Linked DNA regions of Coturnix japonica. The protein of the gene in region 2 interacts with the protein of the main gene of each other region in a pairwise test. Links are inferred from orthologs where the notes say so. Each region holds a gene or a part of one and is shown on either strand. Other genes may lie near its edges.

Region 1 (4,539 bases), on a different chromosome or scaffold from region 2:
AGGAAAAAGGGGGGAAAAAAATCATGTCTTTTATTCTCTCACCACTGGCAGGCAGAATCTGATGGCCATCGGTAGTAAAGTACAGAAATCCTTGCTCAGGACTGGGAAATAATACCCCCAGCATTAGTCCTAACACCTTTCAAAAAGCAAAGATGAGGCCAGGGTATCAGAAAGGGGACTTTCCACTCACACACCACACTGCTGCAGGCTTCATTGCCAAAGACGTTTCTATCTGCATCGAGCTGGATATTCCAGCACAATTCTGAGCTACAACACAGGCTCAGAAAATGTTTGAGAGAAACGCGTTTGTATTTTGTCATGTAAATAACTGCACACGGAGCCACAAACCCCAGCTGAGCCGTAAGGCTGCACAAGGCCACTGTCCGGCGTTCCGTCCTATAAAAATTACTAAAACGTCAGGGACAAAGAAATTTTGTTTGCAAGACGCAATGTACATTTTTATCATCCCGGATAAAATATCTACAGTCTCAGCAGTGGTTAAATTGCTGCTATAAAGGAAATTGTCCTCAGATAAATGGTTTCCCTATGAGAAGGTTTCAGTGCTACACCTCACCCCAGGTCAATAAATCAAATTAACTGCACCTTGTCCTCTGGCCAATGACATCATCGGCTTGACCACATCTCGCGAAGCGAGTGCAAAAACATATGCTATTTAAGGCATGAAATCATATTACGGCTTTTTGTCCAGCCAGCCCTGGTGCTGTTGGGCTGTGAAACAGTCAGTCACCTCAACAGTCTCATTACAGCTTCCACTGATTCTCTTTTTTTTTTTCCTCTAGTATTCAAGGCCTGCCTTCGCCAAGGGTGAAGCAAAAAGGATAAATAACCGGAGCCGTTCTTTCTGAAACCCAAAGGCTTTTCATGAGGCTGCAGCGTGGTGTTTGGAGAGAAATTCAACGTAGAAGCCAAGTGCAAAACAGACTGACCAGTGCTCACATAGGAACTCTCTTCTCACTGCGTTTCAGAGATGTTTACATGCTAATGGGTGCAGTTACTGGGAAGAGCCCTGCTGCTGGCTCCTTTTCTCCACGGGCTGAAAACAATGGTCACTAATGAAAACCTAGACAGCTTTATCGAGACCCGTGCCCGCATACATGAATATATATATATATATATATATTTAAAGTTGCCGCCTCTTTGTAATAAAGCAGTCCATTTGTTTGCTTTCTAAGTAGCCCCATATCTGGTGTAACGCTGAATTACTGCAGACCATTTAAGAGGATTAATTTCAATTTCCACTTGGTGGTCTTACAGCACAATCCCTGCAAACTTATCTTCTTTCCTAGGCCCTGCGCTGCCTAGTGGCATCTTTTGCTTTTCTTGAAAGCCAAATCTAAATGGGAAAAGAAAAAAAGAAAAAAAACCCACAGCCAACCAGAATAGTCAGATACAAGCAGCGACAAAAGCATCTGACACGCAGCACTGCTAAAGTGCATCCACACCAAGCAAAAAGAAAGAGAATAAGATTATCCTCAATGTATTCAATGCTGTTTGTGCTCAGAGGGAAGAGGAGGGCTGTTTGGATTTTGAGTGTGTCTTCTGCAGCTCTCTCAGTGCCAGGAAACGTAAATTAGGTGCAACTCTCCTTTAAGGAATAGAAGCAAGGACAAAGGGACCAAAAATGCCCAAGCCTCAGCAAAGCAAATATGAAAGGCGCAGCTTTACAGTCCTGAGTTGCTATAAATTAAAAATAAGCTCCTTATTTAAAAGACATGAGTGTTTGAGAATCTACGAGCAGATCTGATGCTGCTCAGGCCCCAGGAGGGTTTTGTTTTTGCTGGCAGGGGTGGAGTGGAGATGGGGGGGTGGGAGGGGGGGGGAGGGGGTCATTTTGGTTATTAGTAAATAAATCAAGCAGCAGAGTGAGGCCTAGGCGCTGCCAGAGCAGGCAGGGCCCAGCTCCCCCTCCTCTCCTCACACCGCCTGGGTTTGATCTCGGGGCCCTGTGGGTTGCCAAGAAATTTTTTAAAAAGCGAGAGAGAGCGAGAAAGAAGAATCACATTGAACCACAAAAGCACATGGGGCGAATGTAAAATATAAACACGGCGTTGGGCTCTGAGTGGCTGTTATTAAAGGTCTGAATTACTAAACATGAGAGGCGGGGAAAGCCGGGCGGCCATTTCAATAATATAAACCTCCCCGAATTAGACATTATTCAAATGAGAAGGAGAAGGGAGAGGAGGGGGAGAGGGAGCCGGGCCCGCACCCCGCGCTGCCGGCACCGCGCTGCGCCCCCCGCACGGGGCCAGGGGAAGGGGGCGGCGGGGCCGCACCCGGGGGGCTGCCCTGCTATGGGGTGAGGGGGGTAAGCGAGAAAGGGGGGGGAGGGAAGGAGAAACCCCCCGGCCCAGAAGAGCGCTGACCCCCACACCTCGCGGGAGGGGGGGGGCTTTATAGATAAAGCCACGCCGCGCTCCCGCCCTCCCCCCTCTCTTCCCCCTCCCTCCCGGAGGCCATCCGCACCCATCCACCCCGTGCCCGCGGGCTCCGGGGGAAATAACCCCGGCTGGGAGCGGGAGGGGAAGGGGGGGGAAGGAGGAGGGTGGGCGGCAAACGCCGGCCCCTCTCCCACCCCCAGCCCCACCGAGCGGCTCCTGCCCCGGCCCCCCCGCCCCGCTCGACCGCCTCCCCCCGACCCCGCAGCCCCCCCCTGCCGCCGACACGCCGAGCCCCCCCTTCTCCCGGCCGTTCTTCCCCCCCGGACCCCGCCGCCCCCCGGCGCTGCCCCGGCTGCGGGCGGCCCCGAGTGCGGCCCCGCGCGAAGGAGCGGGCGGGCGGCTGAGGAACGGAGCGCGCGTGTGTGTGTCCCCGCACGGGGAGGCTGCCTGCCTGCTTCCCCCCCCCGCTCCCTCCTGCGCCGTTAATTATAATAATCCTGAGTACTAATAAATTATGCTAAGCGGGGCGGGCGGGCGGCGGGGGGGCCGAGTGTGCGAGTATGAATATGAATATGTAAAATGCAGTAATGATTACCTGCCGCTGCCGCCACCGCCGCCGCCGAACTCTCATCTTGACTCGCTGCTCCTCCGTCCGCCATTTTGAATATTTTAACCAAAATCGGCCGCCCGATAAACCCTCCCCCGCTCCCGGCCCCCCCCCCCGCCCCCCCCGCCGGGCGACCCCTCCCCCCGCGTCCACACTGCGCATGCGCCAACGAACCGCGCCGCGGCCCCGCTCTGCGCATGCGCGGGTCCCTCACACACAGCGAGGCGGGCTGCAGCGCGCAGGCGCCGGGCTGCGATCTCTTCACCTCTGGCCGAGGCCTCGTTAACGTGAGCGCGGACGGGCGATGGCGTTAGTTGCCCCCCCCCCCCCGGCTCACACACACACACGCACACACATGTAGACGCTCTCCGGTCCGTTGTGCTGGGAGCGAAGGGGCGCTTGCGCAGTGAGGAAGGCGGGGGGAGGGTGTAAATGGCGTAGGGTGGGGAATGGGGAGCCCAGGTGTCGGTTAGCCGTGCTGTGAGGGAGTGGGGGTAACGGTCAGTCGTGGTGGAGACCGATAGTGCCGGGTTCCTCCTGTGGGGAGGAAGGAGTTGTGTTTTTGTGAGCGGCTGTGTGAAAACACCCGTGGCCAAGGCTGCCTGGGAGACAGGTGCTGCCCGAGCTCACCGCAATATTAATCCCCTACGAATAAAAAAGGAATTGAATACAAAGGGAAGGAAATAACAGATCAGGCTGCTTTGTGCAGAGGAGGTCTGTGCCTCCTTCAGAAAAGAGCAATTCTGAGGAAACCTTTCCCCTCGTCACACACCCTGGGTACCACAGTGCTGCTGAGGTGTCTCACAAATCTACCTCTGCCTTCTGCATCCAGTGCACACACTGCATACACCCTGGGTACCACAGTGCTCCTGAGGTGTCACAAATCCACCTCTGCGTTCTGCATCCACTGCCACCAAACTGAAGGGAGAAGAAAGTCAGACCTCGTGGCCCCCTCAATGAAGGGTTTAGAGTACATAACGTGAGCCTAGAGAAACACACAGATCAAACCAGCCTTTGATTCGGAACTTCCAAATCACTGCGAGCGATTTGCGGGCTGAGTGATTGAACTTTGCCTCCTCCTTCACAAATTTGGCAGAGCGAAGGCAGCATTTGCTAAAATTCTTCACTTTAATGCTGCATAAATAGGTGTTATTGCTAAGCTCTGCAACGCGCGCTCATAAAAAGAGGAACCAGAAGGTGCTATGGTGTTTGTTAAGGACTTGCCCTTAACGTTTTCCGAGGGTCATTAACTTCGATGGGTCAGAGTCCAAACTGAATTTTCTTCTGGGGCTCAAAACCTGGTGGAATAAAAGAGACTGGCGAGAATCCATTCTCGCAGGCTGTTGCTGGAGGAATTACGAGTTGTAGCAGAGGCAGTCGCTAGGTTTTTTCACTGGTAGGGAAGAGCCAGAAAGGACAGGCTGTCAGAAGGAGGCAGCGGGGTTTCTCTGCGAGGGCTCAATCAGTGAGGTAATCTTGGCATTTTTATTTAAAAATAAATTCATCTGGCAATGTTTTCGTGGGATTTGTTTG
Region 2 (4,473 bases):
ATTTTTTCCCTATTTCTGACACTTTTCCTTCATCTGTCCCAACAGCAGATGGGACTCCTGTATCAACAAACACACATCATGAGTCCTAATCTCTTTAAATCAACTGGTAATGTCTGCTGACTTATGTGAGAATCCGCAGGGAGAAACAGGTATGAGGGGCGTGCAGGGTGAGCACTGGTTCATGTGGGATTAATGCCAATAGAGGCATCCTCAGGAGGCTTAGGTTTGGAAGGAGGAATTTGAACAAGTGTGACATTTGAATTTTGGGGAAGAGTAGGTGGTAAAGGAGTGTAACTGTGGATGATAAAGACATAAAAATCACGATGCCCCAACTGAAACCACCTACACCATCAGCACCATCTTTTATCACAGAATCACAGAATGATTGGTTGGAAGGGACCTCAAGGATCATGTAGTTCCAACCCCCCTGCCTAGCAGGGCCACCAAACATACACCTTTACTAGATCAGGTTGCCCAGGGCCCTGTCCAGCCTGGTCTTGAACACCTGCAAGGACGGGGCATCCACAACCTCCCTGGACAGCCTGTTCCAGGGACTAAACTCTTTTATCCTTCTCTTCAACCTCATACTGAGCTGAAACAGCGCTTTTACACCCTAAGGCCACCAGATTCAGAGAAACCCATCTCTCACTGAAACAAAGACGAGTTAAATTCTCTGCCCATTCCTCACTCAGCCTCCATTTCAGGAGGCACAGTGGCACACTGTGAAGTATTGCTATTAGCTCATCTGGGTGCAAATCATTCAGTGTTGGTAAGGTCATTTCCTGATGCATCAGTGTGTGATGTTACTGCACCCAGTTATCAGCTCGGCTCACAGACTTTAGTGGGGCCATCAGTTATCAGCTCGGCTCACAGACTGAAGTGGGGCCATCAATTCCTGGGCACCCATCATTTCTTCCACCACATCACAAAACAGCCCGTTGTTTCCCAACCATGGGAAAGCGGGGAATGCCATGGTGAACTGGGGATAACCCTACCGAGGAAAACAAAAACACAACCATCATTAAGCTTTTTATTGTGACTCCGATCAGCCCAACCCACCGCCCGGCCTAGTCCCCCATCGCAGCCATCAGCCCAGGAACACCTGCCGCTCTGCGCATGCGCCCCCACCACCCTGCGGCCCCTCAGCCCCTCGCCCAGGACTACATATCCCTGCGCCCCCCGCCGCAGCCGAACCAACGTGGAGGCGGCTCGTTCCCGCCCCCTCGCACCGGCTGCGGGCAATATCCCCGGCTCCCCCTTCCTTGATGGCTGGAGCGGCCCGGCAGCGAGCTCTGTGTGTGGCCCCGCCCCCCGGTGCCGCAGCCCCGCCTCCCTCCCGCCTCCCTACCCCCTACCCCCCCTCCATTCTCGCTGTCAAGCGCTGCACCGCGCAGCCCCGCCCCACAACGCGCGGCTCGGGGACGAGCGGGAGGAGGAGGAGGCCGAGGCCGAGGCCGCCCTTGTGCCGTCCTGCCGCCCGCCGGGCCCGGCTCGCGTCCCGCCCCCGCCCCGCCTCCTCAGCCTCCGGCGTGGGGAGCCGCGCTGAGGCGGAGAGAGAGAGCGCGAGGGGCGGCCGTGGGCTGGCGGCGGGGCTCGGTTTCCTCCTCAGTGGGCCCCGCCCCGCCGCCGCGCTCCCTCCCCCCGGCGGCGGCCGCCGGCCCGCGGCTGTCACTCAAAGCGGCGGGGCTGAGGCCGGCGGCGGCGGCGGGCGGAGAGAGAGGAGCTACGCCACAGCCCAGCGGCGGCCATTCGTGGAAAAATAGGCCGTCCCGCTCCTCCCCGCTCCGGCTGCGACCGGCCTTCTCCCCGCTACCCCCACCCCACCCTCCGCCTCCTCCTCCTCCTTCTCCTCCCCCCTAGAGCGGCGCCTCAGCGGGGCATTAATGCGGGATGAGCGGTATGTAACCCCCTCCCTCCTCCCTCCCGAGCACACCCCTCCCGCCCTCCCTCCGCTCCTCCCTCCACCCTCCGTCCCCTCCATCCCGCCCTCCCGCGTCCCCCCGTTTCTTCCCCGGGTCCCCCCCCCTCTCCCCCCGCCCTTCCTCCCGCGCCCCCTTTCTTCTCCTCCTCCCGCCGTGCCGCCCTCCTCCGTTCCCCCCTTTCTTCGCAGCCCTCCCTCCCGTGCGCATCCCTCCCTCCTTCATTTCTCTTTGCCTCCCTCCTTCCTTCCCATGCACAACCCTCCTCCTGCCCCCTGAAGCATCGACGGCCACTCAGTGGCCGATGCTTCAGGGGGCAGGAGGAGGAGGAGGGTTGTGGGTGGTTTTCTCCTGCTGTCTCCGGGAGAGGAAACCAAACCTCCCCTTTCTGGGTGTTAACTCTCCAGCCCCCATGGGTTGGGTTTCAAACCACGTTTCTTAGGACTCCGGTTCTTTTGTAATAATGGTTTGCGCCGTTGTTTTTACAGAGAGATACGGGCGAGAAGCTGGGAACCAAAAAGGATACGCTTGTAGGTTTTGTTATTGTATAAATGAAGGTGAATAATTAACCTGTTACACTTGATATTTTTGCAGATCAAAAGAAGGAGGAAACTATGCCCACAGAGGGAGAGAAATCTCCCGAGGCAGAGAATAACAACAATAATAATAAAAAAGGGAAAACTGGAGGCTCACAGGTAAAGCACGCACTCCCAAATTGGGAAGTGCGCAAACTATTAGCATTAAAAATGAAGTGTTCAGCTAACAGCATTCCCTGCTGAGGGCATCTTTCTTTGGATTGGGTGAAACCTAGTCGTTGGAGTGCAGTATTTTTACTGTCGGGACGTGCTTTTTGACTGTGTTATATGGTGATCGGCTGCTTTCCATGTAATAGAGGTCCTTGCAAAATTTGCCTTTATTTTAGGAAAAAAGTCTGGATTGAGCAAGTGGTTGAGGTCCTGGTTGTCACATACTCATTGATCACCACTGGCTTGTACGATTATCTATAGAAACATATACTTCCCTATTCAGAGCTGTATCGTTGGTCTCTATGCAGAAGCATGTTTTTGTCTGCTTCCTGTGTAAATCTTGATGCTTACTTCTGATGGTTAACGCTCATGCTCTTCTCCTGAATCCATTCTGTTTTTTCTCTCTCTGGATAGGATTCTCAGCCTTCACCTCTCGCTTTGCTAGCAGCCACTTGCAGCAAAATAGGAACTCCTGGTGAGAATCAAGCAACTGGACAGCAGCAGATTATTATAGATCCAAATCAAGGTTTGGTGCAGCTTCAAAATCAGCCACAACAGTTAGAATTAGTAACAACTCAGCTTGCTGGAAACTCTTGGCAGCTTGTTGCTGCATCTCCTTCTGCTTCAAAGGACAATAATGTTGCTCAACAGGGATCTTCCACTGCCTCGAGCGCACCAAGTCCCTCCAGCAGTAACAATGGAAGCTCATCTCCTACAAAAACCAAATCGGGCAATTCTTCTGCAACAACCCCTGGACAATTTCAGGTCATTCAAGTACAAAATCCAAGTGGTAGTGTCCAATATCAAGTGATACCACAGATTCAGACAACAGAAGGTCAACAAATTCAAATTAATCCTGCAAATGCTACTGGTCTACAAGATATACAGGGTCAAATTCAGCTTATTCCTGCGGGAAATAATCAAGCTATCCTCACGGCTTCAAATAGGACAGCTTCGGGGAATATTATTGCTCAAAACCTAGCAAATCAGACAGTCCCAGTCCAAATCAGGCCTGGTGTCTCCATACCACTGCAATTGCAAACCATTCCTGGTGCTCAGGCGCAGGTTGTGACAACTTTACCTATAAACATTGGTGGAGTAACCCTGGCGTTGCCTGTGATAAACAACATGGCAGCTGGAGGAGGGTCAGGTCAAGTTGGCCAGTCTACAGAGGGTGGAGTTTCCAATGGAAGTCAGCTCGCATCTACACCGGTTACTTCTGCCTCTGTTAGCTCAATGCCAGACTCTCCTTCTTCATCATCCACTTCTACAACTACTGCTTCAACATCTCTGACTAGCAGTGACACTTTAGTAAGCTCTGCAGAAACGGGCCAGTACACAAGCACAGCAGGCGGCAGTTCAGAGCAGCCAACGGAAGAATCTCAAACAACTGCGACAGACTCTGAAGCCCAAAGCTCCAGTCAGCTTCAGTCAAATGGATTACAGAATGTTCAGGATCAGTCAGGTTCCCTTCAGCAGGTACAGATTGTAGGTCAGCCTATTCTACAGCAGATACAGATTCAGCAGCCACAGCAGCAAATTATACAGGCCATTCCTCCGCAGTCATTTCAGCTCCAGTCAGGGCAAACTATACAGACCATTCAGCAGCAGTCTTTGCAGAATGTTCAGCTGCAGGCAGTAAGTCCAACTCAGGTGCTCATCCGGGCTCCAACTTTAACACCATCAGGGCAGATCAGTTGGCAGACTGTACAGGTTCAGAATCTGCAGAGCCTTTCAAACCTTCAAGTTCAGAACGCTGGGTTACCCCAGCAACTCACCATTACCCCTGTGTCTTCAAGTGGTGGTAC

Evidence for each region. The genes of interacting proteins can lie anywhere in the genome.
Region 1: the proteins of SP4 (region 2) and POU2F1 interact in binary tests that used the Homo sapiens proteins (3 or more experiments, as listed by UniProt). The two-hybrid records come from large-scale screens. The link is inferred for Coturnix japonica from reciprocal best matches to the Homo sapiens genes SP4 and POU2F1.

What each region holds. Positions count from the first base shown.
Region 1 is NC_029516.1:82,316,690-82,321,228, forward strand, and holds the start of POU2F1 (POU domain, class 2, transcription factor 1), read right to left. Parts: upstream 3,094-4,539; 5' UTR 3,059-3,093; coding exon 2,995-3,058; intron 1-2,994. UniProt on the Homo sapiens protein: Transcription factor that binds to the octamer motif (5'-ATTTGCAT-3') and activates the promoters of the genes for some small nuclear RNAs (snRNA) and of genes such as those for histone H2B and immunoglobulins.
Region 2 is NC_029517.1:27,985,721-27,990,193, forward strand, and holds the start of SP4 (transcription factor Sp4), read left to right. Parts: upstream 1-1,636; 5' UTR 1,637-1,890; coding exon 1,891-1,897; intron 1,898-2,513; coding exon 2,514-2,614; intron 2,615-3,079; coding exon 3,080-4,473. UniProt on the Homo sapiens protein: Binds to GT and GC boxes promoters elements. Probable transcriptional activator.